Linked DNA regions of Neurospora crassa OR74A. The protein of the gene in region 1 interacts with the protein of each later gene in a pairwise test. Links are inferred from orthologs where the notes say so. Each region holds a gene or a part of one and is shown in the gene's direction. Other genes may lie near its edges.

Region 1 (9,976 bases):
TCGGAGCGGCAAGCAGGGGGGGCATGGTGACGCCTGGAGCCTGTTGTAGGTGAGGTGCCATAATCGCACACGAAAGGGGTGCAAGGAGACTTGATCGGGAACGCGGTGCGGCGCTGTTTCAGTCTCTGCTGACGAGGATCGGTAGACTGAATGACCATAACTGGGCTAGAATGGAGTGGTTAATCTACTTGGCATCGCGAATTTGGCAAGACGGAGTGACAGTGCCGTGGGGGAATGTGTCTGGGGATGGTAAGCCACAGTCCCGGAAACCGGGAAACGGCGGATGGTGTGCCGTTGACAGTTTGGGAGTAGTCGATGGGCGGCTGCCAAGGATCGAGGGGCGGCATTTAACCGAGAGTTTTGGTTACTCATACGGCGACGGTAGAAGATGTCAGACATGAGAATTTGAGATGTCAAACGAGGTTAGCAAAATCCATTGACTAGTCAAGAATCCTGTAAAATGATCTGTAGAGTGTATGACTGGAGCTTGGTGTTGGAAGAAGATTTGTCGTTGCGGTCGAGGGTTGGGTTCCGGGGTACGCTTCAATACCACCTCGCCGCCCCCTGACTAACCCTCCGGTTCCGAACGTTTTGTCAACAAAACTGGCAACGGAAACAGGATTTCACTTGCCTGAAACCCTACCCGCAGCTTGCTAGCGCGATTGCAAGGTTTGCGGTCCGACATTTTCAGTACAACCGGAAGCATGGAGGAATCGATGACCGGATGCGTCTAGCGCTGTGCTTATAAAAAGCAAGAAAGCCAGCGCGAAGACTGCAACTCCGGTACAAGCAGCCGGATCACAGGGCACGAGACCTTGTAGCAAAGGGGGGGGTTCATCATGACAAAGCAGCAGAATCTCTGACCCTTCGTACACCGAACGAAGTACTGCGATGGAAGAAAAAATGTATACAAAAGTCTATAACCAAAAACTATCCGCTGTGCCTCAAGTGCCACAGGCTTCGTGGGTCTTTCGATACCACCAAACACCGGACCGGCCCAATGATGCTGTGGATAGACAAAGCGGCCAGACCAAGAAAGGACCAGCCTCGAGCAGAAGAGAAGCATTGATAGAACAGATACTCCGAAAGACAAGAACATGGAAGAAACGAGCCACAAGCATACCTATCCCACTTCTACTACCGCGCCTAGGTTGAAATCAATCGTCCCACTCCTCATCAAGCTGATCGATCAACCGATTCTCGTCGTCGTTGTTACCGTATCGGCCACGAGACGACGTGTTCAAAGATCGGTATCCGCGGCGCAGGGGCAAGAAGCGAGCGCAGGACGAAGTAAGGATGACGAAGATGTCCTGCGCAATCGATAGTTAGCATGACGGCTCCGTAGAAAGTATCAACCACAGCCGGCTTCTGCTCCCTCACCAGTTCACGCCCTCGCAGTTTATCGTTCATACTACACCTTGCTCATCTCTTTGCGATCCTGCACCCGCACAAAGGAACCGAGCCAAGAGGAAACAGCACGTCCTACCTTGAGAAAGCTCCAGATACCGGCCCATAGAGTATAGTTGGGCAACTGCCTCCACCCTCTTTGCTTCACGACGGTGCGTTGGTAGAAAACACCACCAATGACGTACACCGCCAGTGCAATGAAGAAGATGATGGCAAAGACTCCTCCGGGACCCACGGACCCCGGTTTATGTGGCTCGGCTCCGGCACAGGCGTGTTGCGAGCGAACCTCGAAAAAATAGGAGCATTCGTCGGGGTCGGTGCCGACGAAGGAGACAGCGGTGGAAGTGTCTGGGGAGCGGTCGCAGAGGAAAGAGATGGTTGCGGACTTGCGGCGGGTTTTCTTTTTGGATGCGTTGCTGTGTTTCCGCTTGTCGGAGTCGGAGTCGGTCTGGTCGTCATCACGATCTTCGTCTTCGTCGTCCGAGTATTTGCTGTACGCAGCGCCTTGGTGAACACCGGTGCTTCGTTTCCGTTTGTCGTCCTTGTCGTCCTCTGGTGGTTCACACGGCGACCCTCCTGTATACTGCAGCACCAGCTTCCTTCCTCTCGGCTTCAATGCTCCCGACTCCTGCCCTAGGCTGTATACCTTGCCACCCTTTTCATACCAGGCACCGACCTTGGCCCATGCCTCGCTCGTCAATCCCACGACATCCTCGACGCCCTTCACCACAGGGGCGCATATGTTGAGCGTGATGTTGTATCCGTAATCGTAACCGCGGGCTTGGTAGTCTTGGGTGTGCGTACCCCGGGCGAGCTTGACGCCCTTTTCGGGAACAACGGCGATGTCGGGGCGGAGGTCGTAGAAGGCACCGTTGGTGGAGGTGGCGACGCAGGGTGTTACGGTGGAGGTTGTGGTGGCTGTTGATGATGGGGAGGGCGACGCGGAGGAGGATTCGTCATCGGAGGCGTGGGCAGCACCGGTCAGGGCGCAGAAGGCGACTAGGCTCGAGAGGAGCCGGCTGGGACTTGGGGCATGCATTTTTGGTGAATTGGGGTCGGGATCGGGATCGATATCGGGACTGGTGATGGAACAAAGTGGGAGAGATGGAACTGAAATGGGCAAGGCGCTCGGTGGCGCTCGCTCGTGGTATGGTTGGTGGTGGTGGTGATGATTGTGACTCGTGGCAGCGGCGTCAGGAGGGGTTATTGCATGCAGTGGTAGAGGTAGTATACACTACACTAGAACTTTGGATCGACCAAGGATTGGGTGGGTAGGTAGAGGTAGGTCCCGTCTGGATCGATTTGGCTGCTGATGGAGTCGCGGGGTTGACGGAGGTTGTAGATCAATTCGTGGTAAGAATTGGTTGTTTTTTTGTTTGTCGTACAGTAGTGGAAATTGTTAGGTGATGGCTTTCCGTTCTGGAAGTGGCGCGCAGAACAAAGAGTGCCTGTTGTCGTCACTGGAACAAAACTGAATCGAGCAAAGTAAAGGCTGCCTTCCATGTCTTTGAGTGGCCAGCAAGATCCAACGTCTCCCATGATTGGCCCATTCCTTGGACCGGGAAGATCAGGGGTACATCCACACCAAGATGGAATTCGCCAAGGTACATTGCTGCTCCAACAGGTAGGAGAGATTGGACATGAGGGGCAGGCAAGACAGCGGCTCGAACTATGGAATCGTACCATTGCTCACCTCTCGGATAATCAGCAGCCCGGATCAGGATCTCCAGTTGCGAAGGAGACAGCAATACGCGGATACGGTCATCTGGAAGCAAGGTACCGACTTGAGGACATCGAGTGAGCAGGAGTACTTACTTTGAGCATAGACAGCGAGTAGTACTTAGACGCCAAGGAAGGTTGCCAAGACTGGAGATCCCAGCCGGAAAGCAGAGATCCGTCTGGCACGACAGGTCGATTGGCTCCACTCTCCCAGCCGGCAACCTAATTGAAGCAGTCAATTGGCCCCCCAATTGGCCCATCGAAGCTCCCGTCCTTTGGCTCCTCTTCGTCCGAACCGGGGACCGTCACTGTTCCGGTTGTCTGGTTGGCTGCCGGCTGAGTTGTCCCACGACCAACATCGGGGAGCTGAACATTTTAAAAAGGCAGCTTGATCCTCTCCCCGCTCTCCGTGTTGTCGTCTACAGCATCACAGCCAGCATCACCATGGCCGGGAAGCAAAACCAAGCTGCCCCAAAGAAGGCGGTTGCGCCGCGCCAGCAGCACTACGAGTTTGGCGGCCCGTAAGTCAACCAAAAACAGAACCCCTGACTCCATCTCGTTCGTGTCCAGACCACGCCCCGCTAACAAGCTTGACAACGATCAAACAGCATCGGCGCCTTTGGCATCACCTTTGGCCTCCCCATTCTCGTCCACGTCTTCAACCTTTTCTGCAACGACATCTCGGGCTGCCCCGCGCCCTCGCTCCTCCACCCCAAGTCTCTCGACCTCGCCCAGCTCAAGCGCGAAATCGGCTGGCCTGACAATGGCGTCTTCGGCCTCTTCTCGTGGTCCGCCACGCTGTGGACTTTGGGCTACTACGCTCTCTCGCTCGTTCAATACCGCTTTCTCCCCGGCCACCACGTCGAGGGAACCGAGTTGAGCACCGGCGGCCGGCTCAAGTACAAGCTGAACGCTTTCAACTCGGCCATGTGCACCTTGGCCATCCTGGCTGCCGGCACCATCGCTCAGGGCGCCGAGTTCCCCGTTTGGACTTTCATTTCCGACAACTTTGCCCAGATCATCAGCGCCAATATCCTCTTCGCTTTTGCCCTCGCCATCTTCGTCTACGTTCGCAGCTTTGACGTGAAGCCGGGCAACAAGGACATGCGCCAGCTAGCAGCAGGCGGTGTCACCGGCTCCCTCATCTACGATTTCTACATTGGTCGCGAGCTCAATCCTCGCATCACTCTGCCCCTCATCGGCCAAGTAGACATCAAGGAATTCATGGAAATGCGCCCTGGTCTTCTGGGCTGGATCATTCTGAACTGCGCCTTCATCGCCAAGCAATACCGCCTTTACGGTTACGTCACCGATTCAATTCTCTTCATCACTGCCATCCAGGCTTTCTATGTCTTTGACGGAATCTACATGGAGCCGGCCGTCTTGACTACGATGGATATCACTACCGACGGCTTCGGGTTCATGCTGAGTTTCGGAGATGTCGTTTGGGTGCCCTTCATGTACTCGACTCAGACTCGCTACCTTTCCGTCCATCCTCAGCAGCTGGGCGCTTTCGGACTGATTGCTGTTGGTGCTGTCCTGGCTGCTGGTTATAGCATCTTCCGCCTGTCCAACTCGCAGAAGAACAACTTTCGCACGAACCCCGAGGATCCTAGTGTTAAGCACCTTACCTACCTCCAGACCAAGACTGGATCGCGACTCATTACCTCGGGATGGTGGGGCATCGCTCGCCACATCAATTATCTCGGTGACTGGCTTCAGAGCTGGCCCTATTCTCTCCCGACCGGCATTGCTGGCTACCAGATCTTGAGCGCCGGCAGCAACGCCCCTGGTGCAATTACCATGCTTGACGGGCGCGAGGTTGTCCAGGGCGAGGCGAGAGGCTGGGGTATCGTTTTCACTTACTTTTACATCTTGTACTTTGCTATTCTCTTGATCCACCGCGACCTCAGAGATGACGAGAAGTGCTCCAAGAAGTATGGTGACGATTGGGAAAAGTACAAGAAGCTTGTCAAGTGGAGAATTGTCCCTGGCATCTACTAGCCCGATGGATAATGTTCTGTGGTTATGTGGTTGTGGTTTTGGATACCCGGCGGAGCTTCCTCTGTTATCTGCAGTTGGTGCGAGGAATTGTGGATGGTGTGAGGAATAGTGTAACGGAATAAGCCAACAGCTAGACCCGATAGGGATATAATGAAACTACAGTACTCATGGATCCAAGCCACCCGTCACGTCGCTACTATGAAAGTAGGTACGCTTGACCTTATGACATGGCGAGCGGGATCGGAAGGAAGTGACGTGTTACGCACTCCTGTCCTCTGCAGCTGCCCCTGGATGTTTTGTCGGTCCGTAAGGGGCAGTGAACAGCTGAGCCAGAGTCTCCAGTGCGGCTGGTCTTCTCGTGTTTACACTTGTCAGTTGTCAATCCGTTTCGACGTTACAGGCGTCGTGTCCAATGAGCGGCGCACAAGTCGTTGATCACGGAGGCTTAGAGGATGGGATAGGGGTCCAGATTTGCCAGACTCCCCAGATTCTCCAGTGTCTCCAGTGCGTCTCCATCCAGCGTTGTCCGTCCCCATTTTTCCCTCTGTCCATCACTCATGCGCAATTCCTACAAAGATCCCAACACTTCCCTCTACCCTTGAATTCCTAGGAACATCCTTCCCACCCCATCATTATCACCAAGCTGAAACAAATTGGGCAAATTGGTACCTTGACGTGGGCGTTGCCATTCCAACCGAACCAGTCGCCGGCCAGGGGTAACACACAAACAAAGGTGACATCATCGTCCGACCCGCACGGCGTCCAAGCTCCTCCCGCATCCACTCTGAGGACCCTGACGACCCCGAAAGGAAACATCCGTCAGAGCAACAACAACAAACATCATCAACTCCAAAGGGAATTGATTCGAAACAGAAAGTTTCCTAGCCTCGAACCACACTTGGTACCCATCACGGCGACCTTCCTCCTACTACGACTGTCCACACCCGCATCAAAATCCGTATCGTCATCCGACAACTGCTCTACCTATTCTAGATTGTTCCCCACATCATCGACGTCGTCGCCATTACCACCACCTCCCCCAGTATATCTCCAATACCGCGTTGCGATCTCTTCACCGATCGCCTACTACAGAAGAATACCCAACCCAGCAGACTATCGAGTCGCCATGGGCCGCTGGAAAGAGCTCGACACAGACGCCGACCGTCTACCCGAGAACATGACCCGCATAGGCTACGACGCGGATACCCAGGTCTACACCTACCGCGACAACACCGATGGGACCCTATGGGAGGGCGCACCCGGCGCCACCTACGGCAAACTCTTCCCAGTCAAGCCTCCGACGCCATTACCTAGTGTCGAGGTCCCAGAGGTCAACAACGGTACAGAACCAGGCTATGTCCTTGAAGAAGGGCCGGATCACGATCCATTTGGTGACCATAACGCGGTACGACGGGACGACGAGAAGCCTAAACGAGGATATAGCACGAGGAAGAGGGTGGATTCTGTCATGGATCGAATTGCTAGTATCAGGGAGAAGCCGGATAGGAGGCCCAGTCGCAGGGAGAGTCGAAGGGAAAAGGCAGATGCCGGATACGGCGACGAGAAGGATTTGGGGAGGAGAAACACCACTAAGAAGGAGCGTGACGGCCACCACTACTCGGAAAAAGAAACCCTCCCCCGCTCCAACACGACTCGCACAAGCCGTGCTGCCTCCACCCCCAGTTGGGACCCTCGGCCATCGCCACCACAAGAACAAGACGGAAGCTCGAAGCTGAAGCGAGCAGGTACCCTCTCCCGCATCTCTCGCTTCCTAACAGGCAAGCGCAAAGACGCTGATCCAGACTACGACGTGACTCCGGGAACTGGAGGCGCAAGTAACGGCGGGAATGCGAATGGGTCTAGAGTACATCGTTGGGCGACAGGGAGGAGGCAAAGAGCCACAACTTTTGACGACATTCTGGCGGGAATTCCGGGGCAGCATTGAGTATCCGGCATGGAACATGACAGCAGCACTGGTGGGGTGAGGGCACGTCTGGTGTCTTTGGGGCTGACGTGTATAGGTTGGACCAACCGTCTCTTGAAATATCATTTTCCGGCGGCCAGCCCGGGGAGGTGTCCTTGCCTTGTTCTACACCTTACTTAGTCTTCTACTCTCATCTCCATTAGAGCAATACATTACAGTTAGAGAAACTTTTCGGTTATCCCGCCCGTAAGTGAAACCATAACTCCTTAACATCTGGGAATCCAATACCCTCCCGTCCCATAATACCGATCCCTGGCCTTGCCATCGTCCCTTCTAATTCCCACTTTATGCACCGGTATCCGATCGATCTGCTTCGCCACCGCATCCTTGGCCTCGATTATCTTTTCTTTGACTTCCTGTCCCTTTTCCACCACCTTGGTCCTCCTGAAACCTCCTGTCAAGCCCCTCTCCCCATCCGCGTTTGTTTCGGCGGCTTCCATGCGTTGAAGGGTGGATTGGGCGGTCCATCTCGGCCGGTTGAGACTAGCTAGAGCAAGAACGACATCCTGGTGGGCGGTGTCGAGCCGGTACTGCGGGCCAGTCTCGCGATAGTCCAACACTGGATGCAGAAAACCCATGACCAACACTTCCACCTTGCTGCCAAAGAAGGTTACGCCCGCGCCGAAATCGGTGATGAGGTGCACCGTGGTCTGTTGTTCCACGATGACGGCTGTTTTCCTCGCGTACGGCACCGGGCCCGAGGAAATGATCGCTTCATACCAGACCTCCTCCATTGGGCCTCCGGGACCCATGGGGCCACCCTTGCCGGGAATGATGCGAGTATAGCCGAAATACACGCCTTTGAAGTAGTGCTTGATTTCCTCTGGTAGGTCTTTGAGGTTGGCTGTGGGGATGCCCATTTCCGCTGTGCTTCTCCCTGTCCCAGGAACCACTTTTCCTCCAAACCGGATTGGCAGCGGCGCCAACGGTCCTTCGTCGGGCCCAACCACGCCCGGCATTCCGCTCCCTTGTTGACGTCCTTCTGGCCCTCTCCTCGTCGCCATACCTGCAGCAGCACCACCAGCACCAACAACACACATAGCACCAAATAACTCCCTCAACCGTTCCTGCTCCTCCGCCTCGGCCTCTTCCCTCGCGGCCTTGACCTCCTCGGTAGCAATGATTCCTAGTTCTTCAACGATGGGATGCGCTCGGTAGGGATCGATGATTTTAGTGATCGGGTCCTTGATCGGCGCAATTTTGGAGGCGACCATCTCTGATGCAATGAAAGAGGTGAGGGAGATGCCCATTTCCAGCGGCATGGTCGACAGAGAGGCGCCGCGGATGGACGAAGGGTCAGTGGATGTACTCGCCAACCTAAAGATTGGGCTCGAGCACAACACCTTCATCTTCTTCCGCTGCTCTTCAAGCAGCGACTGTGGATCTTTCTCACTCTTCTTCCTTTTCTCGTGGTCCTTTTCTGACCCATCTGGGTTGACGCACAAATGAACCCGGAAATACCCATCCTCACACCCCTCCGGCACCCTCACCACAGCCGTCAAGCGTGCCACATGTCCCTTTTTGTCGCCAAATTCCTTCTTCAGCTTCTTCTCCGTCCGCTTGATATCCCTCTTCCACCCCCTCTCTTCCGTCGCCCCTCCCAGCCCTAACAATCCTTGTCCGCCTGTTTTGCCAGCACTTCCAGTCTCCAACTCCTCAGCCAAAACCTTACTAGCAGGCGTCACACAAACCCAATCCTCTCTGCCACCTAACCAGTTCTTGATCTTCATCCCACTGTCTCCCGAAAATCCACGCTGTTGAATCCACAACGACCATCCGTTTCCATTCCCGGCTACATCTGAGCTGACACCAGCGGCAGGCGGCAACGAAGGCAAAGCAGGAAGCGGGTACTTGGGACTCGAAAAGATAGAGATGGTCACGGTCGTTTTGGGGCCGTGGTGCCAGATGACAGCCGGCGAGTGGCGCAGAATGGTGTAGTGCTTGGTGGACTCAAAGGGGTGGGAAATGAGGCCCGATGCGAGGTAGGCGGTTTCGGAGAGGGCGTTGGACCAGAATCCTTTTGTCTCTTCCTTTCTGGAGGACTCGGATTGTTGGAGTTGGAGCTGTGGGAGGGATTGGGAGTGGTGGAGTTGGGGTTGTTGTTGTGAGTGCGGTGGTTTCGCTATGGCAAAGGTCTTGGCATGCTGTAAATGGGGATGCGGACGCTCGGGCCAACATTGTGGTGGAGGAGGAGGAGGAGGAGGAGGAAATGCTTGAGCTAGTTGAGGGGGAGGATGATGCCCCGGGAAACCCAACGTCTGCGGTGGCGGTCCCGGCAGCCGCGGTGGAGGAGGAGGAGGAGGAGGGAAAGGGATAGCTGCCGTCGTCGTCGCAGCGCGGGGTGGTGGAGGGCCCGGTGGAGGTCCGGGAAAGCCCAGGCCGTCAAAAGTGGGCCCCGCTCCGCTTGCTCCATTCCAGGCGGATCCTTGTCCCGATCCGAAAGTCCCGGGATCTTCGGGTGGTCCGGGACTGGGTAGAGCACTTCCGCATCGACTCGGGCTGCTAGCTGACATGTTGTATGAAGGCGAATACGGCGAGTGAGGTGTCAATGGAGTATGCGGCTGCTGGCGATATTTGTCATTTCCCAGCCCCGGTGGTGGACCGAAACGACCTCCATGTCCGGTAGTTGCTGCTCGTTGAGGAAATGGAGGGACTAGGCCGCTTGGGCTTCGTGGCGCCGCGGAGGGGGGTTCGAATGTATATGCTGACGGAGAAGGGGTGGGATATGGAGAGAGATGGCTCGAAGACGGCAGGGGAGGACCAGGTCGGAGGGTGGGCATGCTAGTCTGCACTTTAAGATTGTTGTGGTTGCGGGAGTGCTGCTGTGTGTGAGGTTCCTGATAGTTCCCATGAGGTTGCCTT
Region 2 (9,587 bases), on another chromosome or scaffold:
ACCTACGAAACCGTCGTGGTCTTTGGCGCCAGCACCGACACCTACGACCGCGTTGGCAAGCTCATCAAGAAGGGCGACTACAGCACCATCACGCGCGAGCAGGTCGAGGAGGCGCTCAACTCCTTCCGCGGCAAGTTTCAGCAGATGCCTCCTCTCTACTCGGCGCTCAAGATGAACGGCAAGCCGCTATACGAATACGCGCGCGAGGGCAAGCCAATCCCCCGCGAGATCGAGACCCGCGAGGTCGACGTGACGGAACTCGAGCTGACCGAGTGGTACGAACCCGGCACGCACAACCACCGGTGGCCGACGGAGGAGGCCGAGCAGGCCGAGAAGAACGTGGTCAAGTCGGTGTGGCAGGTGGCTAAGAACCAGCAGGACGGCACGACCAGCACAGAGGAGGCCGCAACGTTAATACCGGAGGTGGTGGAGAAGGAGGTCAAGGCGTTGGCGAACCACGAAAGCAACAAGCGTGCGGCCGAGGAACGGGTCGATGAGCTGGTTTCCGAGGAGCCCGCGGGCAAAAAGAGGAAGACGGAGACCGGCGCTGCTGAGCCCATGATGTCCGGCGCTCTGAAAGATAAGAAGGGCAAGGACAAGAAGCAGGACAAGTACGCCAAAAACAGGGGTTTGGATCTTGCTCCTCCTCCACCGTCGCCCGATACCCCGTTCCCCTGGGAGGGCAAGGGTCCTCCTGCTGCCAAGATTCGCATGACCGTGACTTCGGGCTTCTACGTCCGCAGCCTGTGCCACGACTTGGGGGAAAAGCTTGGGTGCGGCGCTATGATGGCTGAACTGGTTAGATCCAGGCAAGGCGAGTTTGTCCTGGGCACGGACAACTGCATGGAGTACTCCGACCTTGCCCTGGGTGAGGAAGTCTGGGCACCCAAGATCCAGAAGGCTTTGGACCTGTGGAACAACAAGGACAAGGCGGGCAAGGCCCAGGCTGTCGAGCCGGTAGTCAAGAAGGAGGAAGTCAAGACTGAGGAGGTTAAGGCCGAGGAGATCAAGGCCGAAGACGACAAGACCGAGAAGCAGCCTACACCGACACCAACACCGGAGCAGCCCACAAATGAGGTCAACGTAGAAGAATCCGCTTCTGCGAAGGATGGGGCGAAGGCATAAAAGAAATCATTATTGTCAAAGCAAGCGAAAATGAAATAAAGCAAAGTATACCCAAATTAATGCAGTTATGATTATTCCGAGGTCACTGTTATCATGCCTCTTAGAGTGCTAGAGGTATCCAGCAAATGCTGTTGCCATGTGTGCTCCTTCCCGACTCCGTCTATATCCAAAGAACCAAGCCCTGCCGACCATGCAATTTCATCATGATGCCTGCCTGCCTGCCCCTGGTGTCCCTTTTTCCCCCCGCCAGATGCCAGCCCAAAACCAAGATCTAGACTAAGTAAGTTACATACCCACTGATCCCCGTCATTACATTATATTAGGATTACCAACATTCTTCCCTGTATGTCACCGGAGGTTACCATTAGATATTACTATTTTTTCCTTTCAACCGTCAATCATCCAGATCCAGCCTGGAGTTCTGCCTCCTGATCACCGCCACCGGTAACCTCCCCTCGTAATCACTATCCTCTTCTCCCTCTTCACTCCCATGTGTTCCCCGCTCCATCACCTGCGAAGTCTCCTTCAAAACGTCCCTAACCCTCTCCATCCTCCTCACCGCCCCCTCCAGCATTTCCAGCCTCTCCTTCTTCTGCTCGTCTCTCTTCTCCAGCGTCTTTACCCGCTCCTCCAGCTTCGCTCTCGCCCTCCTTTCCGACGCGACCATCTCGTTGGCTTCCGAGAACAGGGTCACCGATAACTCCTCAATCTCACGCGACGTGGCGGTTAGTTTCGCTTCGGCTTTGGCTAGCTTGGCGCGGGTTTCCGTGTGGAGGGATTTCTCTTGGGATAGGGCTGCCTGGAGGTCGGAGATCTCTTTTTGGTGCTGAAGGGACGGGGAGGTGGACTGGAACGGTTGTTGAAGGGGGCTGCTTAGAGTGAACGATTGCGAGAGGGTGGATTGGTGCGTTGGCATATGAGGAACAGGGCCGGTAGAAGATTGGGCGGATTTGAGGTTGGGCGTTGATTTGCGCGAGGTCAAGAAGGCGGAGAGACGGGAGGCGGCGCCGGTGGGCAGGAAGGAGGAGACGGAGCTGACGCTGCGAGGGGCGGCGGGGGAGGCGTTGGCTGTTGCAGTGGTGGAGGGGGTTGCGGATTGGGGAGGGGTGGCGAGGGCTGCATCGGCGTGTTGTTGCTGTTGTTGCGGTGATGATATTTGGGACGCAACTGGGGAGGACTGGGATTGTTGTTGTTGTTGTTGTTGTTGTTGTTGTTGTTGTTGTTGTTGTTGTTGTTGTTGTTGTTGTTGTTGTTGTTGCTGCTGCTGTTTGAGTTGCCCTCGTAGTTGGGCTATCTCGTCTTCGTAGTCGGCCCAACGATCGACGGCGGATGAAGCCTTTTCGTTGAGCAGGCGCACTTGGCTTTGAAGTTCTTGGATCTTGTTGTGGGCATCGAGAACGGCCGCCTGCATCTCCAAGAAGGGTTGGGTCCCCTCGAGATCGATACCGCATTGTGGGCAGCAAGGAGCGGTAGATAACGTTTGGGTGACCGGTTCGACGATGACGGGGGCGGCGGTCATCGTCATGGTGGCGGTGGTTGACATGGCTCACCAGGGCCCCGTTAGGACAGATGATATCGACAAGGAGAGTTCGCGCGTCTTGTCGGATTGGACGAAAATCAAAGATGATGGATTGAAGCGGTTCGTCTGATCTCGATATTTTCTTCTCGGGAACGAAGTGGACTCCTGCCAGGAACAAGAAAACTAGATGGAGACGCCGTTGCGGTGGGGATGGACTGGTTCCCGTTGAAACAGGGGCAGGGAGCTTGTTGTTTTCGTCTTAGACTTTGTTTTGTGTATCTGGGGGGCGCTGAGTGAGATCGCTAACCAACACGCCGCCAGAGCTCCCACTCTGCCTCCTCCTTTTTTGAAGAATGACAAAGCTGTAAAAGGGAGGACAAGAAATGGGTGGAATGAATGTGTCTAGGTACCTCTAGGCACGCAGGGTTTCGGTGACGTACGGGAATCTACCGCCCTCCCCCGTTCTACGCCCCCCCGCCGTTCCGATGATCTTCAGCGGTATGTAGGTACCGCATGCACGATGCAAGGCCCATGTGGGGGGTATACGAGACGCCAAGCCGCCCTTGAGCCGCCTTAAAGAAACAGCACTCGTTAACGTTTGGCCCAGGCGGCGGATGACGGCACAGACAACAGATGAGGTATGTACCTAGGTATGCAAGGGAATAGTAAGGTACGTATGAAGAAGGCTATTGGTATCTTCTATGCAGATTTTAAACGGGTATCCAGTTTCTTGATGCAATGACAGGCGTAGCCGTGTCTGGCGTCACTATATCTTTCCTCGACGTGACAAGATCATACTAACTCGCCATCGTCTTCGTTATCCCTGAAACAGGCGCTGTATCATGACTGTGTTGTTCCGCTGTGTCAAGAGTGAATCGTGACATGTACCCATCTCCATACTTCTCTGAGTGCGAGCCCTATCACCCAAGACCATGTTCTGCGCGGTCTAACTTGGCGTACCTGGAGTATCCGCCGGAAACTCTGGGGCCAGGACATCTCTGGGCTTGGATTTGTCGCTGGGATGCTTGCTTGTGATGCGAGTGGCCGACCGTGTCGATGATGGACCGGCGGACCGTGAGAGCTCGACATTCGACGTGCCGCCGCATTTGCAAGTCCCCAACCGGGTACTGATTGAGCACCTGCTTTCACTACTCGGCGAGCTCTCCGAGCAGATTAACGCCCGTATCGCCTTGATAACACGCTGTACCTCAAGCTAGTAACTCCGCTATGCATTGCTTTTCAAGCATCTTTTTCATGTCTCATTTCGAAACTCCATCCGCCGACTTCAGTAGGGCTTCGCAACCTTTCTGGGTTCGCTTAGCCCCGTCTCAGGGTCCTTGTATTCCTTCCAGTTGACGGGGTACATGGTGTTACCGGCCTCGCTTGTCGCCATGATGACACCGAGCTCGTTACGCGCTGTCGACAGGTAGTAGCTGGCTTGGTCACCAAGAGAAATCTAGTGGGTGGCAGCACGTTAGCGGAAGTGTTCAGTCCATGTCTGGCAGAAAGGGAGAGGAGAAGAGCACTCACCACCTCGGCCCTGACAATATCTCCAGGCCTGAAGCTGTCGTAGATCTTTACCCTGTCCTTCTCTGTTGCTCTCACGTCCTGCACTCTGATCAGGCCCTGCCACTCGGCCTCCAAAACAGTATCGCCGCAAATTAGAATGGCCACAACGGCTTGGCGCGGCATGATGCGAATCACCCGGCATAGCACGATGTTGCCCACTTCAGGAAGCACCTCGCGCTTGTCTGACGAACCCGCTGAACGCAATACCGAGATGGTCGGTAGCTCGGCGGGCGTGGTCTGGGTGTTGATGATCTTGTTCAAGCGCTTAGCAGGGCCAGGCGCCTTGGCGGGCTGTGTGATGTTGACGACGCCGAGCAGCGAAGAGTAGAGGTTCGACTCGTGGATATGGGTTCCAGGACCGGGTTGGAACTTGGAGACAGGGCCTAGGAATTGGCCGGGGATGGCCATCGAAGGGGAAGAGGATGTGCTCGCCATTGTGTCGGTCGTTCTAGGTTGATGGAGCTATCGATGACAAAAGTTTGCGAATGGGTAAAAGTGGTATAGTATGAGACGCGGTGCGACGCGCAGAGGGAAACTAAACAAAAAAAAGATAACGATGCGACAAAACGGACCCCGCGGCGATAACAACTGAGATTGGAGCTTCTGGTACGTGGAGGTAAATGTCCATTCGATGGAATATTGAAATGTGATTGACCGGGCCCGCGGACGGGACTCAATGACGGAGGGGCACCGAAAAAATAGAAACCCCTGTCAGTGCCAAGAGCGCTGTTAGTGCCGCGCTGAGTGCTTTGCACCGACAGTGCTGCCGGGCAACTTGAGCTGCCCTGCCGGCGAGGGGAGCTTTACGGAGCTTCTGGATGCACTCCAGCCTGCCGGTGTGTCTGCCTCCAATTGGTCGTAGCGGTGGCTCCTTCAAGAAATCGGTTTAACGCTATCCGCGCAATTGAGCGTCCTTATTGGTCAAAGCTCTCAAAATCGAACGTGTCGGAAGTCGCAACACCCGCCTGGGCGGGCATGTTGCAACCACAAGGGTCCTCCACAAGGAAATCAGGGGTTGCCGTGGGTAGGTTTGTTGAGGTTGGGCTGACGGACCCCCCTGTCGGTGGTGGAATCTCTGTGGCCATTGTTTTGCTTCTTTATAATTCAAGATTCCCGTCTTCTCTCTCCCCTGTTTCTCCTCCTCGACATTGTGCCGTCTCGTCAATCACAAACCGTCACAATGCCTCCCAAGAAGCAGTCCTCCTCCGGCGGCAACAAGCCGTCCGGCTCTGGCTCTAGCTCCGGCCGCTCTTCCTCCGGTTCGTCTTGCCGCTGCAGCTGCCGCTGCCGCTGCAGTATCGGTGGCTGGCTCAAGTTCTTCGCCATCTTGTTCGCCCTAGTTGCGCCTATCGCCTACGTCCTGGAGCAGCGTCTCGAGTCCTTCTACGTCTTCGATACTGAGCACCTTCACGATCTGTCCAAGCGCGCCATCAGCGCCCACGGCAACGACACCAAGGCTATTGTCAAGTACATTGTCGACGAGCTGAACGACCGCAACGGCGTTGCGCCCTACGTCAACAACGATGAGGAGTGGGTGTTCAACAACGCTGGTGGTGCCATGGGTGCTATGTACATCATCCACGCCTCCATCACCGAGTACCTGATTATCTTTGGTAAGCCCCATCCTCCAGCACGCGTTTCGCAAGCTTGTGCTTCCCGCTTCTTCAGACCCATCACTAACAGCACACTCCACACAACAGGCACTGCCATCGGTACTGAGGGTCACACCGGCCGCCACACCGCCGACGACTACTTCCACATCCTCACCGGCACTCAGACTGCCTACGTCCCCGGCGAGTACGAGCCTGAGGTCTACCCTCCCGGTTCCGTTCACCACCTCGTCCGCGGTACCGTCAAGCAGTACAGGATGCCCGAGAGCTGCTTCGCGCTCGAGTATGCGCGCGGCTGGATCCCTCCCATGCTGTTCTTCGGTTATGCCGATACCCTCAGCAGCACGCTCGATTTCCCTACCCTCTGGCGCACCTCCGTCATCACCGGCCGCGAGATGATTAGCAACTTGCTCAAGGGCAAGTTCTAAGCATTGTGCTTTACGAACTGTCCCCTTCGCGAAGGGTGTTTTGCTTACGAAGGTTTTGGAAACCATGGGATAGAATATAGAGTAGAGATAAGGCTTCTCGGCACAAGCGGCGTCTACGCTAGACCGGAGTTTGGGTTAGATCAAGATATATCCATACCTATATTCACAATCTACGGTAACGTAGTCAAAACATTACTACAAAGATACTCTCTTTTGGAAATGTTCGTCGCCTCTGTTTGCACATTCGCTGGTGAGTCCTTGCCCTGAGGTAGTTGTCACAAACCTTCGTAGAGAATGCACGGGTTGGCTTTATTATACCTGTGTTCTGGTTTAGTACAGCTGACCCGCTCGCTTCCAGACAGACTTCTGTATTGGTGCTTTGTCTTCTCTTCTCTTCACTTCTCTCTTCACTTCTCTCTTCACTCCTCTCTTCACTCCTCTCTTCACTTCTCTCTTCGGCAAAGTGCTCATGTCCGTGCCCATGTTTTCTACATATCTATACATCACTAGGTAACCCCTGAACCGCCGTCGCGCAAACATCACGATTCCTAACATCCATGTGTACACTCCCTCGGCATTTCTCAGCACGCCTATCTCCTGCTCTAGACTTCATGCCACCAAGTAGTCTATTCCCCCCTTCCTACGATGACAGCTGGCTATACCTCGGTTTACTGTTATCCTCATTTTACTTCGGCCAAAGTAGCCAGTCCATCACCACGCCACTGCGCCGCGAGACGGGACGGCGAAACGACAAGCTGGACGAAGATGAATGGTTTTACGAACAAATGACGATTCGATTTATTCCAATTTCATCAACTTTTCTTTTGGGGAAAGCATACAAGCACTGAGGGTTACGTTTTCCATGGACAACGCCTTTAGAGTCTGGCATGTTGCCCACTGTGATCTCTTCTTCTCCTGAAGGAAGGTATGCTACATAAATAAGGCAAAATGGGTGAACACGAGTGTGACTAGATCACGATATCATTGGAGTGGGTGATTTCAGTATTGGTTTGTTTTTGAATGAGACTGAGGTAATTAATTCAAAGAAAGAAATATTGGATTTTCCAAAATAACATATCGTAATACTTAACAGCATTGCTCGTGCCATGATGCTCTCATGATGGGAGTGTTGTTGCTGGACAAGAGAGATGTAGTTACGATCGTCAGTCTGGGTCTCTGTCGATAACCAGACTGTGTTTAGTGTTGGACAGAGGTTGAACACAGCTTTGAGACCAGCTTAGAGTCTTCCAAACCTTCAACGTGGCTTTCATGAGACGTTCAGGAATATAAAATTGCGAGAATACTATTAAGCGCCTGACGTTATCTTCGCCATGTTGTCACTGTAGATTGTACTTCGTTCAGCTTAGTACTACCGAGTTGTCGTAGTTTGACTATGGAGACTCAGGATCAGCACTCGGCCACAGTTCATCTCATCTTTATTTAAAGACGTCATGGATGGCACATAAAATTTCCTCATGACCAAAAGTTGCCTATGACTGTGCGTAAAGCCGTCAGGCCTTATTCTCAAGTTTTGAGATTACGAACAGCGAGATAGAGAGAGGCCTTTGGCGAGGAGTATTATCTCGACCGGGCGGCAGGCAGTTTATCAATGACTTCCTGGGTAGCGGTACCGGCCAACAAGGCTGATCGACATTGTCAACAGGAAACCCAGACCCATCTGCGTCCCCGCCTGTCATCGCCATTTTCCTCATCATCGGTTTCTCGTAATGGTGGCTTTCAACTTCGATATCGTGCGGTTGGTTGGCTTTGGAGTTTTAGACCCCTCATCCGAAGTAGAGCATACAGCAACCGAGATGCAACATGTTATTTTAATCATCACCTTTGCATGATCAGGACTTCATTTTTTTTCACGCATGACAGCCTCTCTGGGATAACAGGTTTCCCCTTTGGAGGCGTTTTCTTCCCTCATCCGAAGTAGATGAAGTGGATGAAGCCCCCGTGGGCCCATACTTCCGTTCGCACTGGTGCTGACCGGCCTGGCACTTCCAGGGGTGGACGGGTAAGATCTCTCATGACCGGGACACCGAACTCACCTCCGCTCCACGAATCCGTACTCCCAGACTGCCCAAGGCCACAAGGCCACCTTGCATTGCAGGTAGGACGTATGGTGTGAAAATTTTCACATCAGAACAAATTTTCCAACGGGCCGCGTGACACTGCTCGAGCGAACAACTAGGCCGAATTTATGGTTCTAGAAGTCATACAGTGGAACCCGGCAGTGGAGCGAGGTCCAGTGTCGCCATGTTCCTGTGCTTTCGTGCCGCATTAGGGTGCGCTGCTGCTGATGGAAACGCCAGCGGGATGGGTTGACGCCGGCATGGTGCCGCCGCCGCTGCTTGTTTCTTCTTCTTGACCGCCACGGCAACCAAACAGAACTCCTTTCCTTCTTTCCCCGCTCTTTTGACCCGCCAGCAGGAGCGCCAGTGGGACAGAAATTGCGGGGAAGAAACGGGACCTGTCAAGCTTCCTGTTTCGTAGGCTCGTAGGGCACTGCGGTGCGCTGAAAAAGGTCCCCCCGAGGTGCGTTACGGCTATGGGCTTCGCCGCTTCACGTGCCAGTGTTGCTATCGGTCGGCAAGGCTCCCGATAGTGTCAAAATATTGTCGTGTTGTATGGTTTCAGCGAAGAGCCAAACAGAATCCGGAGGCAAGGTTCTTGACAATTCTCTGGACACAAATAAAAAAAGGTCAGCCGAGAACTTTGGTTCCTTGCATAGGCGACATCCGCGGAAATGGTATTCGCAAGGGGAACGAGGCAGCGAAATCGGGAGCCAATGCCGATCCAACGTTGCCAATGTCGACGGTGGTGGACGACAAGGACGCCTGTGGGAGGGTAACTCAAGTGCCATGGGACTGCTCCGAAAGGGTATTAGTGAGCCGGTTTGTACGTAAGAGAAAAGAGGGATCCGCCGCCCGCTTGAGACCAACCAGGCATCCAGCTCTACACACGTACCAGCGTCCGTCCTTTCTGCGAGCCTTTTTGAACGATCCGACTTTTTTCTTTTGGCCTGTCGGGTGTACGTACTGTCAGGGAGGCCACTGCCAAGCACTGTTGCAGACACCGGTACATAGCTGGAACGACGACGACGACTTGAGCCTCCTGGAGGAATCCATCCGTGGACGACGACCCTCCGAGAACTGAAGGTAGTATCAGTGTGTTATACAGAGACGCCGGTAGATAATGAACCACCCTCCATTGCGTCAGTCAACGGCAGAGAATATTCCAGATAAATGACAGGTCGCATTGGAACGGACTCCATGCCATAATGCTATGCGCAATGACGGGAAATATCGCCAAAGAGTTGAGGCATCAGAT
Region 3 (9,998 bases), on another chromosome or scaffold:
TGTAAAGTTTCGCGCAGATACGAAGCCTACTTGCTGCCGAGTACATCTCATTTACTCTTCGACCTCCGTCTGTGTGTATCGTATAACTTATTAGTAGACTGAGCTTAAGCGGAGGTGTCTCTTCTTAAGGATGAAGCTCGCGCTGAGGTAGGGGTCTCCACTGGTGCCATGGAGGTCAAACCTGTGGAGCTTGATCTGGGTATTGGATGTGACGTATATTACCTGTAACTTTACTGTCTTGTCGTAGTATGTCTACGTTGACGAGGGCACGACCTTCAAGTACCTCAAGCCAGAGAAATACATATTTTGCGTGAACGAAGGTCAAAATACAGCTCCTGTCGAACAAAAACGGTCCGTACCTTATGACTAGTACCATTCCTCTTGAGACGGGGTTTTCCATTTCTGGAAGCCCACGAGATCGGACCACGCTTAGGGTAAGTAACTGAAGCAGCATCCGGTACCTGTCCCCTTGCGTACCGCTACACCTAGTACCCACTTAGGTAGTGTACACTACGCATACACTACGCATACACTACGCCTGCAAGTCTCGACATCCACAAGTGCCTGGGCACGAGCCCTCCCCTCCGCAGGTCTGCCGTGCGGGCTCCATCCTGCGTAAAACTGATCTTCCCCGACCCACTCCAGCTTCCCGCTTGGACAGGGCTCTCGGCTGTCACTATTGCTTCACTCTTCCCTTCCACTTCCAACTTGTGCAATTGGCCCCGCATCAAGACACGTTCCTGCTTGACCTGCGCCGCGACAGCTTCTCCCCTCTTCCCTCCCACCATTTCCCACCCCGACCTCACTGTCGCCGCCACAGTCCAAGATGTTCTCGCAGATTGCGCTCGCGACGGCTCGTCAGCTGCGCGCTGGCACCACGCTGGTCGTTCGTACTGCCGTGGCTGCGTCCACCAGCTCGACCACCCGCTCCGCTGCTCCCAGCTTCCTTCGCCGCAGCGGCGTCGTCTTTCAGCAGCGCGGTTATGCCCTAACTCGCGCCAAGAAAACCGCCGCCGAATCGGACGATACTGCTGCTACGGCCACCAAGACCAACAAGACTCGTCCCGCCGCCGCAAAGTCCAAGAAGTCGGCCGCTGAGGGCGCTACAGGAGCCGGCGCAAGGGCAAAGACGCCCAGAGCCAAGAAGGAGGCTGCGCCCAAGAAGCCCAAGGCGCCCAAGAAGAAGGCACCGCTGACGGACGAGCAGAAGAAGAAGCTCAGGATCAGACTGTTGAAGCAGCGGGCGCTGTTCAAAGAAGATCCCAAAACCCACCGAGTTCCTGCTTGGTCCGCGTACATCAGTGAGCACATGAAGGACGTCTTGAAAGAAGGCGATGATATCGCGACGCGGAGAGGGTACTTTAAAACGTTGGCTGCACAGTGGAAGGAGCTGTCGGACGCTGAAAAAGCCGTAAGTTTGCCCCATGGAGCTCCATCCCGTGATGTTCCTCTGCCGCCCTTCAGCTACTTCTCAAGTTTGTACCATACTTCGTCCTGTTCCTTTGCTGACTGCGATCTTTCTGTACACAGCGCTACCAAGCCAAGGCCGACAAGGCTCACCAGGATGGCGTGGCTACGCGGGCAGCGTGGGTACTCACCAAGACACCCATGGAGATCGAGGACGCCAATTATGCCCGTCATGCGCTGAAGCGCCTCGGTGTCACTTCGGTCGTCCATCCTATCCCCGATGACCGGCGCCCAAAGCGCCTAAGGAGTGCCTTTTTGTTCTTTTGCATGTCGCGCCAAAAGGACGCCCTCTATGCTGGCAAGCCCCTACCGGAAATAGCGAAGGCTTTGTCCGAGGAGTGGAAGTCCATGGACGATGCGGCAAAACAGGTAGGTCTTTTCAATCCTTCCTCGTCATCCATTTCCCTCTTGTCCATCGTAGTGCGACAGGTTCTTGCCCCGTTCGCAACGACGTTCTTGCCTGACTTGATCACCGTGTTAACAACCGTATGCTTCACCCAGCCTTACGTCGACAACGCTGCAGTCGATAAGGAGAGATACCTCAGTGAGAGAGCTGCTGCCGCCGCCGCTCATGCTGCCGCTTGAGTGTGGTTATCACGCCCCTCGACGCCCCTTTTCCGGTTCGGTTCATGTGAATTTATATGGGCTCCGAGCGACCTCCATGAGCTTCGTTCGTCACACAATTAGCCGGCTCGTTGCCGATGCTCCGTCGCACTCTGTTGTTCGAGTGGCACCGAAATGTATTTGTAAGGTTGTTGGGGAAGCGAGGCGAATCATCGGATAATCTTTATGGATCAATAAAGGAACGAATGTGGGTGTCCAACTAGGAACCCAAATAAAGAAGGGACCAGAAGTACACTGCATCGCAAAGCCTCAAGTTCATGTACACGAAGAGTAGTCATGGGCCAAATTCAAGTTTGGTTACCCCCCAATATCACTGATACCAGGGGCTGTAGGTTGTTAAACGCCCGCAACTCATCAGCTGAGCCCGCAACTCCCAGCTTCGGTCCACTTTGAACCAGGACCAGTTTCCCACGCCCATTCAAATCTGCCACAACAACCTAGAGCCCTACCTCGCACTCAACGTGCCCACCCCCGTGGCCATTACAGACCGCGACCTAGCTTCCATCCTAATGACCACCTCCCCGTCCCCATCCACCCATTCCGTCCCTGTATACAGCACCTCCCGCTTGCTAATTATGTACAAGACAAGGTATAGGTGACCAACCACCGCGCCCCAGCAATACAATCTCAAACGAGTGAACGCTTCATCCCGCGTGCACCAGACCCCCCAGCCCGCCGCCCCGCTACCCAGGTAGTCCGCTAGAAAAAGCCAGCACGACTCCTTGAGCTCGCGGCCCCATGACGTGCAGTCCACCAGCCAGTAGCCCCGCTCGTAAGGGCGCGTGGCGCGTGTCCGGAGTGAGGGCTGGAATCGTTTGGGGAGTTTCAGGTCGATGGCGAGCTTGGCGAGGACGGGGGTCATCAATGAGAGATCGTTTTCTGCTTCTCCTTCTCCTTTCTCCTTTGAAAAAGAAGATGAGAGATCGAATACGTGATCGGACGTTGGAGGGCAGGGCGAATGGAGCTCGAGGACCGACGAGAGGCGGGCGCTTCGTGAGGCGATCTGGTTGGATTTGATAGCGTCTTGTCGGGGGCCGATATCACTGGAAGAGCGGACGAGGGGCTTTCCGGAGCTTGAGATTGGGTTTGCGGAAGATGAGGGGACGGACAAAAACGTCAATGAAGCGGGCGTAGCTGATCGTGATGATGGTGCTGGTGCTGGCGCTGGCTCGGGACATGTGCGGCGACACTTGATTGGTGGCGGTTCGGATTCGGTACGGGATGACGATAGGCATTGCTTGGATAAGTCTTGTTTGCAAAGGATGGTGTCGGTGGCTGGAACTTGCTCTTGGACCGCAGGCTGTGATGATGCTATCGTGAAGTCGCTGTCTCGGGAGGAGGGAGACGGCCCATGCTGGACGGGTCGGCGGCGCTTGTTGTTGGCGTTTATCACTGGCGAGAGAGGTATAAACTTTCCTCGGGGATCTGCTGGTGTTTGGCGTCTGGGAGAATATTCTGTGATTGACATGCGCCTAGCGAGTTGACGACATGATAAATCCCTTTCTGATGGCGCAGCAACATGAGGTTTCTTGGCCCTATTGATCAGTGAACTGAGGGTCCTTTGAGTACCGCCTTCCGCCGCATGTTCCTGGCTATTCCCTTGTAAAGAAGAATCCGGTGGTAAGAGCGCTATGTGAGGCTCACCGCTAGCCACCTGTCGCCGCTGCGAGATATGGCTGATGGTGGGGAATGTCGAGTATCCCTCATGCTGACTCTGGATCCGGGCGGCTGTTGGTTGCTGTCCACTCGGGGCCCTCTCTATGACTGGCGACAGAAACTGACTGGAATCACCAGGATGTAGATAGTCCTCTAACAGCCTTGTCGGTGTGCAAAACTGAGACAAAGTCACATTATTGTCTGGCAGTGAATCTTGAACAACGCTTGCAGGAGGTTGCCATGAAACCTGTGAGTATTGGCTAGGCTCATCGTGCCTCATCCGCAAGCTGGGCGATGCTAAATTGTTCGCGGCATCGCGCCACGATAACACCGGTGTTTCGACAAATCCTGCTACTTCAGACGACCGAAGGATCTGATCCGGTTGCGTGGAGGGTCCTAGGGAGCCATTTCCAACGGGCTGAGGCTGCACGGCGGCCTGATGAACTACGACATTTGGTGATATTGTCTTGCTGAACACGGATGTGCGCGTGGTGGGTTCAAAGTTGTTATATGCATTGGCGAGTGCTCTATAGTTGGCATCGTCTTTCGATCTGCTAGGAGCTGTGATATGGACGAGGATTTCGGTCGCGGATTTTTTGTTCATCACACTGCGTCAGGGCACCAGTTTAAGCTGTGGTTGTCGAGTGCCATGGAATGGGCTGGGCTGCGTTGCAATCGAGATATAGAAGTTGGAAGTGTGCTGGATCATGGGTTTATGGGTAAGGGTGAGACGCTGGATGGAAGGCTGTTGCCTGACAGACAGTAAAGTGTTCCAGATTCTTACGAGGTGGAAGTGAAGAGAAACGCCGTTGTGGGAGGACAACGAAAGGGAGCAAATGCGCATTGTTGACTGGCTGCACGACGGGATCTGGCAACAAAAAAAAAATGGAAAACCGCGTGCCCGTCGCATTCAGTTGGGTACCTCTATGTGCAGGCGGGATCGATAGTACTAGGTTCCACCTTTATGGCAAGGTCTCACGATGTTGGAACTTGGAAGATGGGAGAGCACGGGTCCCTGTGCGCCTTCATCCACTCAGGTCCACTGCGAGCCGCACCCCGTCGACCTTGATGGACAACAGGGGTCCTTCATTTTGCCCTTCTGTAGGTTCCGCCCAAAATCCAGCCTCTTAAAAAGGGGTCACGATGTTTTCCACAGGCGTGTCGCCGTGTCGTACCTCACTGGCTGTCAAGAGCTAGGTACAGTAATTTCCCCTGAAAGTGCATGTAATCCGGGCCAGGGGTTTATATGCATCTAGAGGCACATATGCACTAGCAGGCACATGCCAAGTCTTTTTGCTCCCTTAGTATGAAAATTTCAGAGGTTCAGAGAGTGCTAGCTTGCCTATAAAGTCCTAAAAGGCCCTGAAAAAGGTGTTCCAAATAGTGCATATTACACCGAAATGGCCGGCCGTTTCACATACAGGGGCATTCAAGCACTTATGCGATTTCCCATACCAACTAATTGCGGCCGCCAATTTCTACGCATCTAGAGGGCTTTATGCATTATCAGGTGCATGCACTTTGAGGGGAAATTACTGTAAGTGGCGTGCTTGGAGCCGAGACGCGGAGCCAGAGACACAGTGGCATGTCCCTGATAGGTTGCAATTTGTAGCTCAAAATGGCATCCTTGTCCCCCGGCTTCGAAGATATCCTACCCATGATCCCACGTCCCTTGCTCTAGAACTAGACAGTTTCCCAATTGACCCTCCTTCAGTCCATCTTTCCTGCCTTTCTCCCAACGCTCCAATCCATTGCTCTTCCCTTGTCGATACCCCGCATACATCCCACGATGGCCTCAGAAAAGAAGCCGGAGCTTGGCTCCGTCATGGTGATTGGCGGCTGTGGCTTCCTCGGTCACCACGTTGTCCGCGTGCTCCTCCGCGACTACATCTGCTCCGTTTCCGTCATCGACCTACGCTGCACGCGGAACCGGCGACCCGAGTCGGATGGCGTCCAATACTTCGAGGCCGACATCACAGACCCCGCCAGGCTCGAAACCATCTTCAACCAGGTCAAGCCCCAGGTCGTCATCCACACCGCGTCGCCTGCCGCCCAGTCCAACGACAGCGTCTCTCATGCGCTGTTCAAGAAGGTCAACGTCGACGGCACCGCCGCCATCATCAAGGCGTGTCAGCAGACGGGCGTTACCGCCCTCGTCTACACCAGTTCCGCCAGTGTGATGAGTGATAACAAGTCCGACCTCATCAATGCGGACGAACGTTGGCCCGTCATCCGTGGAGCCCAGCAGAGCGAGTACTATTCGGAGACAAAGGTACCCTCCTACTTCCCCTCTCTCCCATATCCCCCAAGAGTGATGCATCCCAAAACTAACCTCCCCCTCCCTCCAGGCCGCCGCCGAAGAACTGGTCCTCCAGGCCAACCGTTCCGCTGCCGCCCCTTCCCTGCTCACCTGCTCCATCCGTCCCTCAGGCATCATGGGCGAAGGCGACACCATGACGCTGTACCACCTAATCAAACTGTACCAGAACGGCAAGACCTCGGTTCAAGTCGGCGACAACGATAACCTCTTCGACTTCACCTACGTCGAGAACGTAGCGCACGGTCACTTGTTGGCCGCCGTCGCCCTCCTCCAAACCTCCAAGCTCAAGATCGCCCCACTAGACCATGAGCGCGTCGATGGCGAGGCCTTCATCATTACCAACGACTCGCCCGTGTACTTTTGGGATTTCTGCCGGGCTGTGTGGAACGCTGCGGGATCTCCCCATGGGACTGAGCACGTGTGGGTTTTGCCGCGCGATGTTGGTATTGTGCTGGGCTTTTTGTCGGAAGTCTTCTTTGGGATCATTCGCAAGCCGCCGACGTTTAATAGGCAGCGCATCATTTATAGCTGCATGACGAGGTACTACGATATTTCCAAGGCTAAGAAGCGGTTGGGATATAAGCCGCTGGTGCCATTGGATGAGGCGGTGAAGAGGTCGGTTAAGTGGACGCTGGAGCAGCAGAAGGGGGAGAAGTTGCAATAGGTATAGCAGGCCTTGAATGTGGAAGGGATAAAGGGTGTGGTGGTGGTGGTGGTGAAAGAAGCAAACATCGACGGAAGGCATGATAACTGTATATGAAACATTGGACAAGCGCTGATGAGGCGAAATAAGTCGGGCCTTGCGTGCTGGAACGCGCCGTACTATCTGTCCCGCTGTATAATAATATCTAATGACGACATTTGGATGACGGACGACGAGGCATGCCTCTCTCAGACATGTTGGCCGGATGAAGGGGTGAGCTGGATATTGATCCACGGACAGATGCTAAACATGTCACGCGAAGCTACGAAACTCCTTCAACAAAGCCCAGACTGAACAGTATGATGCCGGTGCGTGTACGTAGTTTCTAGATTAGGTCTGTTACCGGTCCATAAGTGACTAACAGAAGCATTCCGATCTTGATCGCTCGCTAAACTTAATTCTCTTGCTAATCCCATACACCATGATACCCTAACGCCATGCTATCCCCTTCGTAGGCCACTTCAATTCCTTCATATGTCTTAGGAAATGTCAAGTTCAGCGCTTGGCTCCTTTCCTGCCTGTCGTCCTCTCGATCTTATCTCTTCCAGGCGTGTACGGCGCTGCAATACCAACCAATCTCTGCGATTGTTCATTTCGTCCTAGTGTTGGAAATTGTCCTTGTCCTTGCCCTTGCCCTTGTCCCTGTCCCAATGTCTCCCCTGGTGACTGCTGCGCTTCTGTTCCAGCCGTGGTCGCCATCGTTGTCGTTGGTGGCGTAGAGGTCCGGTCTGTTGTTGCCGTGGTATCTCCCATGGCATAACCACTTCCATTACCAACGCTAACAACGCCCCCTCCTGGTGCTGCTCCTGCTGCCGCCGCCGCTGTCCCTCTGAATTCATATACTCCCCCGACACTAAGAACCGCAGGTACCCCCAGCGTAGGCGCCGTCAATTGCTCGCGGTGCAGCTTATCAAGCGACTCGCCTACGATGGCGTACTGGGCCCAGTTGATGGGCGGACAGCGGACAACCGTTTGCGGCTTGGGAAGGGAGCGCCAGGTTTTGGAGAGGCCCTGTGGCGGTTTTGTTGTTGTTGTTGTTGTTGTTGTCTTGCTGACGCGGTCTTTCCTCTTTGGTACATTGCGTCTGCTGTTGTTGCTGTTACAATTATGGGTAGATGTGGGTGAGGTATTCCCAGCGCCGGCGCCGGCGCCGGACATGGATATATCGCCGTCTGGGTCGTGCGGTAATCCCGAACTCGATGGGACCGCTGCTCCATCATATTCGCCATCATCGCCATCATCTTCGCCATCAACACTGTCTCCTTCTGAGTTCATATCCTCATCCCCATCCTCATCCCCATCGTCATCCCCATCGTCATCCCCATCGTCATCCCCATCGTCATCATTGTCGTCATCGTTACTACTACCATCACCAGTAGGTCCAGGCCCATTAAGCAACGGATCACCATCCATCCCAATCCTCCCCGCCGCCAAGTCAGCAACGAACGCCCCTGGGTCCGAAAGTGCAGCAGCTTTGGCTCGGTTCAGCGCCTGTATGTCTGCCGTGGCTCGCTGGCGCTGCAGCTGCAAGATGGTGATGGCGCTCTTGAGCGCTAGCACGTCCGGGTTGTCGTCGAAGGCTATGGGTTGCGGTGGCGGCGGAGGAATGCCGACTTGGTCTACTTGTGAGTGCGTGAATGTGGGTCGCCCTCGGGCGAAGCTGGGGATGTTGTTGTTGTCATTGTTGTTATTACCATTATTGTTAGTGCTTGTGAAGGGTGGCGTCAGTGAGTGTGATGATGTTGATGCTGATGATGAAAAAGTTGTATGTTGTTGACGGTGACGATGGCGATGTGCTTGTTCATGAATTGGACCATCTCCATGGCCATCGGGACCGGACAACCGTGCCGATTCCTGAGTCGGGGTGATGGGGCTAACGGGCGGGCGGGTCGGTGAGGGCGCATTTTGTGGGGTCTCCGCATCAGGGGCTCCGACATCCCCGGCAGTGCCGCTCGAGCCGATCGGGCTGGTGGTCCCGGCGTCCGGGGAGACGCGGGTGGTTATTGTGAGGCCCGGCATGAAACCCATTGGACGAGTGCACGATTGCGCCCAGAAAGATATGTCTGTGTGTGAATCCGCCCCTTTTCTTATGCTAGAAGATCGGGAAAAAAAAAAGGGGGGGGGGGGGGGGGGGTGAGGGGCGGCGGGGGGCTCAACCGCAACAATCAATCAGTCTGGCGCGACTAGTGTAAATGAGTAGTAGCCTTGCCGGCTGCCAGGAACTTCAGTCCTTGCTGAGAACACCGGAATGGAAGTCGCCGGGTGTTGTGCAAGTTCTGTTCAGTTCCCTTGTTGTAATAACTATTATGAAGCGGTTGGCTCAAGTTGGATCATCCGTTCATCATTGCAGCAAAACAGGCAGCTGCACCCTTGTCGACGGGCGTTGTGATGTTTATAGGCGACAGTGGCCAATCCCTGCGCACGGAGCAGTGAAGTCGGGAGGTTTGTTGGAGAAGATGCTACAGTAAGTATGCTGCGTTGAGTCTATCTGATTATGTAATCTTCCATTTCGGGAAGGCTTCGCTTTTGCCCCGTAAGTATAGTCCCTACTATAGGTGACTCCGTCCAGGTCTTGGCGCGATGAGTTTGTTTTCCTCGGGGAACAATCTCCAGTTACTTACCTTATGATGAGTCCGACGACTCCTGTCTACCTATGTAGGTAACTACTATGTACGGTTCTGCCTATACTATCTGATCCAGCCGGTAGTCGACGGACAGTATCACCGCATGCAACGGGTGAACCGCACGAGACATTGTTGACCGTTGGCCTCCATTTACAATACACTACATGCAATGGAAGCTTCGCAGGCTGCAGCCGAGAGCTCGGTTGTACATTACACGATTTCCGTCCTGTAGCTCTTCTTCCCACTTTTTCTTCCTTTCGCCTTTTTCTTTTCTTTTTGTTTTTCCTTTTTGTAGCGGTGCCGCCTTGGGAGGGGGGCGCCTTTTGCTTTTTCGTTTACCCAGCCGCTAGGCCTCTTTCTGTTAAACTCAAGTCCGGTCTTCCACTGCATACCTCTACAAACTACGAACAGTCCAGGTCTGTCATGCATGGAATATCTGAGCGCGTACTAATCGGGCTGACAGCCGAGCCTTCATCCCTTAGCACCCGCACTTGCCTGTGGGTAGGGGGTATGTCTCTCTCTCCCTCTCTCAACTCGAAAGGCCAACGACCGACCATCCATACAACTGCAGGTAAGGGTCGTATTTGGTGCTTTATCCAACATC

The links.
Region 2: the proteins of erg-3 (region 1) and erg-1 interact in binary tests that used the Saccharomyces cerevisiae proteins (3 or more experiments, as listed by UniProt). The link is inferred for Neurospora crassa OR74A from reciprocal best matches to the Saccharomyces cerevisiae genes ERG24 and ERG2.
Region 3: the proteins of erg-3 (region 1) and NCU02693 interact in binary tests that used the Saccharomyces cerevisiae proteins (3 or more experiments, as listed by UniProt). The link is inferred for Neurospora crassa OR74A from reciprocal best matches to the Saccharomyces cerevisiae genes ERG24 and ERG26.

What each region holds. Positions count from the first base shown.
Region 1 is NC_026503.1:5,232,417-5,242,392, reverse strand, and holds erg-3 (c-14 sterol reductase ERG-3), read left to right. Parts: upstream 1-3,406; 5' UTR 3,407-3,570; coding exon 3,571-3,647; intron 3,648-3,734; coding exon 3,735-5,130; 3' UTR 5,131-5,307; downstream 5,308-9,976. Other genes in the region: NCU08761 (vacuolar sorting receptor), read right to left, coding at 1,158-1,310, 1,487-2,446; NCU10567 (hypothetical protein), read left to right, coding at 6,257-7,075; NCU08763 (hypothetical protein), read right to left, coding at 7,321-9,976. UniProt on the Saccharomyces cerevisiae protein: Delta(14)-sterol reductase; part of the third module of ergosterol biosynthesis pathway that includes the late steps of the pathway. ERG24 reduces the C14=C15 double bond of 4,4-dimethyl-cholesta-8,14,24-trienol to produce 4,4-dimethyl-cholesta-8,24-dienol.
Region 2 is NC_026505.1:5,015,808-5,025,394, forward strand, and holds erg-1 (C-8 sterol isomerase erg-1), read left to right. Parts: upstream 1-5,186; 5' UTR 5,187-5,393; coding exon 5,394-5,826; intron 5,827-5,913; coding exon 5,914-6,251; 3' UTR 6,252-6,501; intron 6,502-6,609; 3' UTR 6,610-6,884; downstream 6,885-9,587. Other genes in the region: NCU04153 (pseudouridine synthase), read left to right, coding at 1-1,125; NCU04154 (hypothetical protein), read right to left, coding at 1,520-2,668; NCU04155 (exosome component 1), read right to left, coding at 3,930-4,100, 4,175-4,648. UniProt on the Saccharomyces cerevisiae protein: C-8 sterol isomerase; part of the third module of ergosterol biosynthesis pathway that includes the late steps of the pathway. ERG2 catalyzes the reaction which results in unsaturation at C-7 in the B ring of sterols and thus converts fecosterol to episterol.
Region 3 is NC_026501.1:3,222,068-3,232,065, reverse strand, and holds NCU02693 (C-3 sterol dehydrogenase/C-4 decarboxylase), read left to right. Parts: upstream 1-5,336; 5' UTR 5,337-5,536; coding exon 5,537-6,019; intron 6,020-6,095; coding exon 6,096-6,731; 3' UTR 6,732-7,159; downstream 7,160-9,998. Other genes in the region: NCU02695 (hypothetical protein), read left to right, coding at 827-1,411, 1,531-1,836, 1,969-2,052; NCU02694 (hypothetical protein), read right to left, coding at 2,537-4,351; NCU02692 (hypothetical protein), read right to left, coding at 7,266-8,798. UniProt on the Saccharomyces cerevisiae protein: Sterol-4-alpha-carboxylate 3-dehydrogenase; part of the third module of ergosterol biosynthesis pathway that includes the late steps of the pathway.